Schizosaccharomyces pombe: one gene and its partner. The protein of the gene in region 2 purifies or fractionates together with the protein of the main gene of each other region. This does not show direct contact. Each region holds a gene or a part of one and is shown on either strand. Other genes may lie near its edges.

The links. Proteins that work in one complex are often made in the same cells at the same time.
Region 1: the proteins of rhp6 (region 2) and brl1 purify together in Schizosaccharomyces pombe (affinity purification with mass spectrometry, with the first as the bait; 2 studies listed by BioGRID). This does not show direct contact.

Annotation. Positions count from the first base shown.
Region 1 is NC_003421.2:2,237,811-2,242,654, reverse strand, and holds brl1 (histone H2B-K119 ubiquitin ligase complex (HULC) subunit, ubiquitin-protein ligase E3 Brl1), read right to left. Parts: upstream 2,809-4,844; 5' UTR 2,681-2,808; coding exon 602-2,680; 3' UTR 501-601; downstream 1-500. Other genes in the region: pep3 (ubiquitin-protein ligase E3), read right to left, coding at 1-150; transcription factor TFIIIB complex subunit Bdp1, read left to right, coding at 3,369-3,399, 3,445-3,936, 3,987-4,636, 4,675-4,822. UniProt on the Schizosaccharomyces pombe protein: E3 ubiquitin-protein ligase which belongs to the histone H2B ubiquitin ligase complex (HULC) which mediates monoubiquitination of histone H2B to form H2BK123ub1.
Region 2 is NC_003424.3:303,634-307,262, reverse strand, and holds rhp6 (ubiquitin-conjugating enzyme E2 2), read right to left. Parts: upstream 1,658-3,629; 5' UTR 1,541-1,657; coding exon 1,499-1,540; exon of another isoform or gene 1,452-1,498; coding exon 1,387-1,451; exon of another isoform or gene 1,207-1,386; intron 1,174-1,206; coding exon 1,053-1,173; intron 948-1,052; coding exon 844-947; intron 796-843; coding exon 672-795; 3' UTR 501-671; downstream 1-500. Other genes in the region: U3 snoRNP-associated protein Lcp5, read left to right, coding at 1-299; protein pat10, read right to left, coding at 2,234-2,263, 2,308-2,344, 2,403-2,492, 2,532-2,589, 2,728-2,800; SPOM_SPAC18B11.09C (serine O-acetyltransferase activity), read right to left, coding at 3,244-3,411, 3,470-3,547, 3,623-3,629.

The sequences.
Region 1 (4,844 bases), on a different chromosome or scaffold from region 2:
AACAGGGAACTGCAGTTGCACCTTCTCTAAGGAAAATACACCTCTTTGCTCCTTTTCGGGATTATCAGCTGTGTATTCCAATTCCGCATCTTCTTGAATATCTGAATCTTCAGAAGAATTAGGATCAATCCAATCCTCGGCCAGACTCATTGTTCAATGGGATTGCACGCGTATCAATAGAAAATGAGATGAATTATTATAATTCCGCTGCCAATATAAATTAATTTACCAATATTTAAAAAAATAATTAATAGTAATTAATTGTTTCCTATTTCGCTAGTTACAGTCGCTACAGATACACACCCTCTATTTTTGGCACATGGATAATGGAGAGTGAGTCATGATGCTAGACTTGCGAAACTAGCATATGAATGAACGAAGTTGCTTAATGGAATAAGTTAATCAAATTGATAGATATTACTAGTTTTTTATTAAAAAAAGCATACATATTTATATGTAAATAAATAAATAAATATATATATATATATATATATATGTATATAGGATTGACTATTCTTTCAATAACTATTGATGCCAAAAAATATATTATGTACCAAAATAACAAAAACATTACGTTAATCATATAAAAGATGATCTAGAATTAAAGATGAATGGTCAAAATGTCGGAAACCGAAAAAGGTGTTTCACACTGCGGACATGTACTTGTTTTATGCTCATAAAAAGGTTCCATACAATTAGAACAAAAGGCATGACCACAGTTTGGAATGAGTTTAGATTTCCAATTAGAAAAGTTGCACACGGAGCATTTTAACATTCCTTTGTATACTTGAGCCTCTTGTGTTTCATATGCCTGGTTTATAAGATGAGACTCTTTCTTATTATACGAAGCTTTTATGGATAAAATAGTATGCTCTTCTTGCAAATGAAACAACTTCTGATGCATGATCATAAGCTTTTCCCCAGATTTTTGAACAGACTCTATAAGATCTTCAAGTTTTTGAGTAAGTTTTGTTTGCTTAACTTGTAAGTGCTTATCTTCTGTTAAAACTTCGACCGAGTGTTTCCCGTAGATTTCCTTTATTTGTTTATAAACTTCCAATTCAGCTTTTAAAGAGGATTCATATTTTGTTAGCGCATGTTCTCGCTCTTGCAACTTCCCTATATAATCATGTTCTTTATTTTCGGCCAGTTTAAGAGTTTTCTTCTCTGTCATAAGAATGTCCCGAGCTTTCATGGCAGCAAAATATTTTTGGGTGGCACGAGCCTTTTCATAATGCATTTCCAAAGCTTTTTTCTCCTTCGTTTCAAGTTCTTCATATTTCTTCAACAAACGAGATTGTGATTGATCAAATGCTGCATACATACTTGGGAGTTCAGCCTCCAAACAACTATTATTTTTTATTAGTTTTTCCAAAGCTGAAGACGCAGAAATTTCTTCTTTTTCATCTAGGACATTATTCATCTCACCAGTCTTAGACCTTTCAATACGATCCCATATGCACAATCGATTTGAATAACCTTCTAGAATTGCAACCCGAGCGTTTGACAAGTTGCTTAATAAAAGCATCATATCGTCAAAAAATAGATTGTTAGTATATTGCATTTGTTGTTTCGCCACTAGAGAGTCTCGTTCGTTACGAATTTGGGTTAAAGATGATTCAAGGGTTTTAATAAGTTGTTGTTTCTCTTTTACACATGCCAATTTTAAATCAATAATATCCTTCTGTCGTTTCGTCCGTTGAGAAATAAAAAACTGAATGTCCTCAAACAATGAAGAGAGGTCCCGATTAATGGATTCGATTTTCTCTTCATTTGAAGAAAGAACCCCCTTCAGCTCTAAATAATGGGGCTCTCTACTCACTCTTTCATCCGTTATACCCATAATGTCGACGTACAATTGTGCTGCACGAGTTGATTTTTGAGAAAGTTCATCCAATTTGGAATTTATATTTGCTTGCATCAAATCAGCTTGAGATTGAAAATTGTTTTTTAGTTTTGAAATATTATCATTATCATTTAAACATCCTTCCCCATTTTCGAGAATTGCTTTTGGTTCCGAAGCAGGGATATCATCAGCGATATTTTCAATACTTCTTTCGGAAGCACTAGTAAGCTGATCTTGCTGCACCCGTTTCCATTCTAATTCAGCTGAATTCAAAGCTTCACGAAAGAAGGAAAGTTTCCTTTTTAGGAGTGCCAACTTAAGTTGGCTAGTACGGTAATTAATCATACTTGTAAAATGAACCTGGCGTTGGTCTATCCATTCATGGACGTTTGGAGTTTCTTTTAATTTAAAAGAACCAAATTTAGCTAACTTTTGTAGAGTAGGTTCATGGGCTTGAAAATAGGAAGCATACTTATTCAAATAGTTTTGCGCATCTTTGATTAAACTGAACTCAGCAAGTGACAAATCTAGTGTCTGTAAATTATCATCAGGTTGATATAAAGAAGCAGTGATTTTCTCTAGTTCTTCAAATGATTGTTCATGATTTTCCAGAGCAGCAGCAACGTAATGATCAAGTTTCAAAACTAGAGATTCCCAATACTCGTATAATTTCTTTTCCAAAACAGTGAGATGCTCATACTCTCTAGATCTTCGCCAAGCTGCTTCCTTTTGAAATAACTCTAAGTCATCTTCTTCTCCGAGGTCTAAACGACGCGTTTCTTTTTCGCTGTGAATAAGACGTCTTCTTTTCCTCGATTCATTCACAACGCTCATTCCACTTCAAAAAAATTCCTTTTCTATTTTATAATTAAAATAAAGTACTTAGGATCAAAATATGTGCTCATTAACATTCACTAAGCCAATTCCTACGGTTAATGAGTTTTTTCAGGTTATCTGTACATGGTAGTCATGTCTCGTTAGTGAGTCAAATAGATTCCTCGCTATAATAATATGTTTCTTTACCTTAGTTATGCCTGTCTTTAAAGTCGCCTACGAAGTAGTAATTTGTATAATATAATTAATATTGGCAATGACAAAATAAACATTAGCTAACGACAATGGCTTCTTCAATTCCTTCGGTGGTTATCTAAATTGCTGAATTTATTCTACTATTCATATTAGTGTAAAGTATTTTCTTGCTTTATCTGTAAACTATAGCTTACATTTCCAGCGTTTTATAATAACTAAGTTTGTTCGAGGCTGACCCTGATTATTTCTACCTTTAGTTAATTTTATATCTTACTCAATCATTGCGACTATAAAACTTTTTACACATATATATTAATCTATTCAGACGGGCTTGCTTGGTTTCGTTGTACAGTTATACCCAGGATATAACCTCTTTATTAAAATATTACTGGTTCATGGACAACAGGCAAATGTTTGTACAAACATATGCGCACTGCCACATAATTTTTGAAATTCATGCAATTGAGTCGAAGTTACAGTCTAAACAGACTCAATGAGCTCGCAAATATTAACCTCACCTACAAGTACGTTTTTTTAAGTAGTAGGGCTTTCCACTAATGTTTTACCAGAAAAATCAATGTCAAGGTTTGCCCCTAAATTTACAGCCCGTAGAGAGAAAGTATCGGACCAAAAAGAGGTTGTTCATGAAGAAAAAAATCAACCCCTCACAGGAAACGAAGTAGAAACATCCGCTCAGCTGTCTCGTGATACTGCCAATGCTGATATTTCTAGTCCGGTTGTGCAAACAGTAGTTCACAAAGAGGCAACTGAAAATCCCACAGCTTCATCCTATAGAAAAGATGATTCAGTGAAACAAAATGAAAAACTTTTGCATTCAAATCCTACTTTTAAAATTTCTAAGCCAACGGTTCTTGAGCAGCCGTTAAATGCTATTGAGCATTTGTCGCCTGAAACCGATTTATCCTCTTCAGCCGAACAGCAATTTATGAAGGAATTAGATTTGTTTTTTGATGAGAACATTCCCCTTTCTCAGCTCAGTGCTGTTAGTGACGGAAAGGCGGATTCTCCGGCTACAAAAAAGTCTCGCCGTTCATATAGAGGTACGTAAATAAAGGGTTAATCTAAAATGCATTATTTAATAACATCATAGAATCTTCTTTGAAAAGAAAAAGTCAATTGATATTGGAAAACGTGGGTACCGACGAGAAAATCATTAACATAAGTGAAACCAAAATGTCTGCTTTATGTGATGATCCTGGAATTGGCCGCAAAAGTCAACGATTTATCGAATTAGAAAAAATGCTTTTTGAGGAAAAACGAGCAAAGAGGATTAAAAAACAAGGAGCAAGTACTGCAAGCTCTAGTCGAGAAGCGTCTTTAGATTCTACCATCAAACAGCCTTTGAGTGCCAGTCTTCTAGAATCAAGCGAACCGAAAGAGAAAGAAGAAATAGTAGGAAGTTTGGAAGAAGAGGGTACGGATGAGTCTGCTTCTCTCGAAGATAGTCTCTCTCACCCAACAAAGTCTATTCTTGATCAGTTAGCAGATAAAATGGAAGTTGATGGTTTGAATAACAACTCCAATTACTCTGCAACTCCTCGTACGCGAGTTGTTAATGGCCAAATTGTTCTGGATGAAACCTCACTAGAAGTCGACCGTCATGAACGTGATTTTGTACCAGCAGAGGAACGCGAATACGTTGAAGAAAATTCTTTAAGTCGTCGGGTTACAAGTGCTACTTGGGGAAATAGGCAGAAACCTGAGAAATGGAACGCTATGGATACTGAAAAATTTTATAAGGTATGGAGGAATTGCGCTCGTATTTACTGACATGGCAGGCTCTATCACAGTGGGGAACTGATTTTGCTTTAATTGCTAATATGTTTCCAACTCGTAATCGTCGACAGATAAAACTAAAGTTTAAACAAGAAGAAAGAAGAAATCCTGCACGTGTTAATCAAGCTTTGAAAATTAAAAAACCTATTGGTAAGACATTGTGTGAGTACTC
Region 2 (3,629 bases):
TGCAAAAAATGCGTGAGAGGATAGAGTATGAGGAAAGTAATTATACTCGCCTTCCTAAATTATCGAAGAAAGATTTAAAGAAATCTAAACGTGTAAAGAAACACGATTATGGTGGTGAAGACTGGTCATTGCTTGATCGCAAATTCCATGACGATGACTTTTCAAATCGTAAATTAGACCTGACTTCTAGAGCTAAGAGACGTGCTAATTTTGAAGACGTTAACGATGGCTCATTAGCTTCACCTGTTCAAATTGGCCAGTCATATCGTAAAAGAAAGAAGAATTTGAAACGTCGTTAATCATTATTTTGGGAACAGCCGTTGAGGTTTACTTAAAAAAATTGACCATATGTATTTAAAAAAATGGAGTTTTTGCGCTTGGTTTGGTATTTTTGTGTGGTTTAGGGCAGGTTATGTTTAATAAGATCAATATAAATTTTGCATGTACATGTCTGTATATGTGATTAGTCGCACATTAATATAGTTTACAAGTTCTAAACATAAGGAAGAAATCATTCATTCGTAGATGTAAACAAAAAAATCTTAATGATTTACTATAGTTACAATTTTGGCAACTTTGAAGCACTTAAATAGATTTAATGTGAAAGGCGGTTGAAAAAGAAGAGTAAGTTCTAATGAAATAGGGATTATTAAGACAGCTATGTCTTGAAATCAACTTTCCCAGGAGTCTTCTACAGTTTTTCGTACTCGACGCACATACTCCTTCTTGTTTTCACGATGCAGCTGAGCAGCTTCGGCATTTGCAGGGGACGCATTATTTGGATCATTAAGTAAGCTAAAAGTTAGTTATGAGAAATTTAAGTAATATTTCTGAAAAGCAAACCTTTGAATAGAGGTAAGAATTGCTGCCACATCGTAAGTTGGAGACCACCTGTTTTGCAGAATGTCCAAGCAAAGTTCGCCATTTGCGTACACATTTGGATGGAACTAAAGCCAATAAGTAAGTAAACAAAAAAAACCAAGAAAAAAGTAAATTACAACAAATCAAATAATCTAATTTAAGACTTGTCTAAATACAATGACTAAGCATACCATTGTGGAGACGAATTTTACAAGAGGAGGTTTATTAGGATATTGTTCATCAAAAGAAAGAACCAACTTAAAAGTTCCATCTTCAAATGGAGTGTCTGCTGGGCCAATGATAACAGCATTCCTGCTCAAATGGTTAGTCCAACATCAATAATAAAAAACAAAAGCAATCAATCCAGAAACCAACAAGCATAAAAAGATCGCTTCTTGTAAGAATTTTGAAACGATCTCCTTCCTAAATATATGGCAAAAAAGGCATTCAATATATAGCACATATATTCACCATTACGTTGCATAACAATAAGAGAAAAATGAATTGACATAGGTAAACACTTACCAAAGCATTACATTGTCAGAGACAGGGGAAGCTGAAACTCCAGCAGGAGGATCTTGCTGCATCCTCTAAGAATTGGTTAATATAAGTCTTCTCGGATCCACAACTGCCGTACCTTAAAATCTCGCATGAGACGTCTTCTTGCGGTCGTTGACATTTTTATAGCAACCTCTCTTCTATTTGTGATAACTTTAAAAAAAAGTTGCACAAATATCGATATCGCCTTGGAATTACACCGAGTTAGGATATCCGATTTGCGTTGTTGGAGAAGGGCAGGGAACAATAGTAGGACCATTCACTCATATGCAGTATTTCATTATTAATGGGGCGCACCCAACACGTTAAAATAATAAAGTGCACGCTCAGTTACCTTATAACTAGACCAACCTTTTAGTAATGTTCAGCATTTGCAATGCAAGTCTGCTTTAGTATTAATGAACTACTACTTCATTTAAATTATAGTTAAAGATAAGGAAAGTTGATATTTTTCATTCAACCATTAATCATAATCAAGGTCCGTGCATTTGTTAACGGTAAACTGTTGAACATGTGAAAATTATATATATTTACTTTAAGCCTTTGTTCTCATTGGGTTTAAAAAAGCAACTAAAATACATTAGGAAGAAAAAATGAAAGAGCAACAGGATGTAAGAAATAAATTTACATTTTCACTAGCTTAACAATGAGAAAACACAAACAGCCAATTTTTTACGCGTCTGCTACGTGATTGAAATGGTAGTTAGAAATGTATCTGAACTCTTCACCATTAGATATTTACATTGTGCATAAATTTAATTATCCAGAAAAAAATCAGCTTAATACTCTTATTAATTCACTGACTTAAAAATTACTAAGTTTTGTTTGGAGTATTTAAAAATTGCTGCACAAGTTAATCGACAAAGTAAATATAAAAATTCAACTTACCGGTAAATATGTTGACACAAGAGCCGCGATACCCATACTGATCAAATGTTAACATCCATAGAACTACATTAATGCAATGAATTAGGATTACTTACAAAGCCATTGAAGTCGGAGATGAGCTGGGAGACGTATTTGCGTTCAGTAAATTTGAAAAGGTTAGGATAAAAGCAACCCATGCAATTAATCTTCTCGTTAACATGAAAATCCTAAAATATCTTACATACTTGAAACGAAGAAATAAAGCAGCCATACACGTGGCTGTGCTTACCAAACTCAAGCCAACTATAATAGGGTTAGCAAACTTAATAAATTATTTGACGAAAGAAAGGATTTAAAATATTCCACAATGAACTAAAGCTTGAGCGATTAAATCAGCGTAACTCACGATTGGGTTCAATTTGAAAGTGCTTTCTACTTTACCTTCTTCATTTGCTTTGACTCTAGCTTTGTAGGGAACGATTAAATCAGGTCGTTTAAGTTCTGCAGGCGCCATATTTTATGAATTTTCGTTGTCGAGACTTCAGAACTGGTGAATGGGATGGTTCCTCTACAAGAATATAATGAAGTTAGTAATAAAATGTGTAAAATGGTTTTAGGTTAGGTTATTTAGCATTCAAATATATCGTGGGGGTTAAGAGTTCTTATCCCACTAAGAATTTCAACTATTTTAGACTTGGCTAAGCATTAGAATTAAAATCGATTGCAGTACCACGTGGGGGCTTTAGCAAGTCATAGGAGGAAACTGATCCTACTTGGCGAGTGAGAAATGGATTTCTTTTAGCATTCTAAGTCTTCTATATAACAATTTAAAGCTCAAACATAATATAATATTATTTATACTATTTTAAAAATTTAGGAACCAAGCCAGGTGAACTTAAGAAGTTCAAAGAGCATTTAATCGTTAGATGAAATAATAAAAAAAAAAATTACACTCGTTCACTCGTTTTCAATTTTACGAATAGGTTTGGCAGGTGATCCTACAGCCAACGTATTAGGTGGGATGTCTTTTGTAACAACAGCACCCGCTCCAATTACACTGCCTTCCCCGATAGTAACACCTGGGAGAACTATAACTCCCATACCAATCCAAACATTGTCCTGAATCTTGATAAAATTTTGTTTGTTAGTTGTAAGATGTTTCAATAACTGGACTAACGCATACGTTAATTGGTAAACCAAATTCAATTCCGGAGTTCCTTGCTTTAAAATCCAAGGGATGTGTTGCTGTACATAGTTGAACCTGGAAAGACACCATTAGTATATTTATTTTTTGAATGAATGACTTGAAAGTAACTATATATATATATAAACATACATTGGGG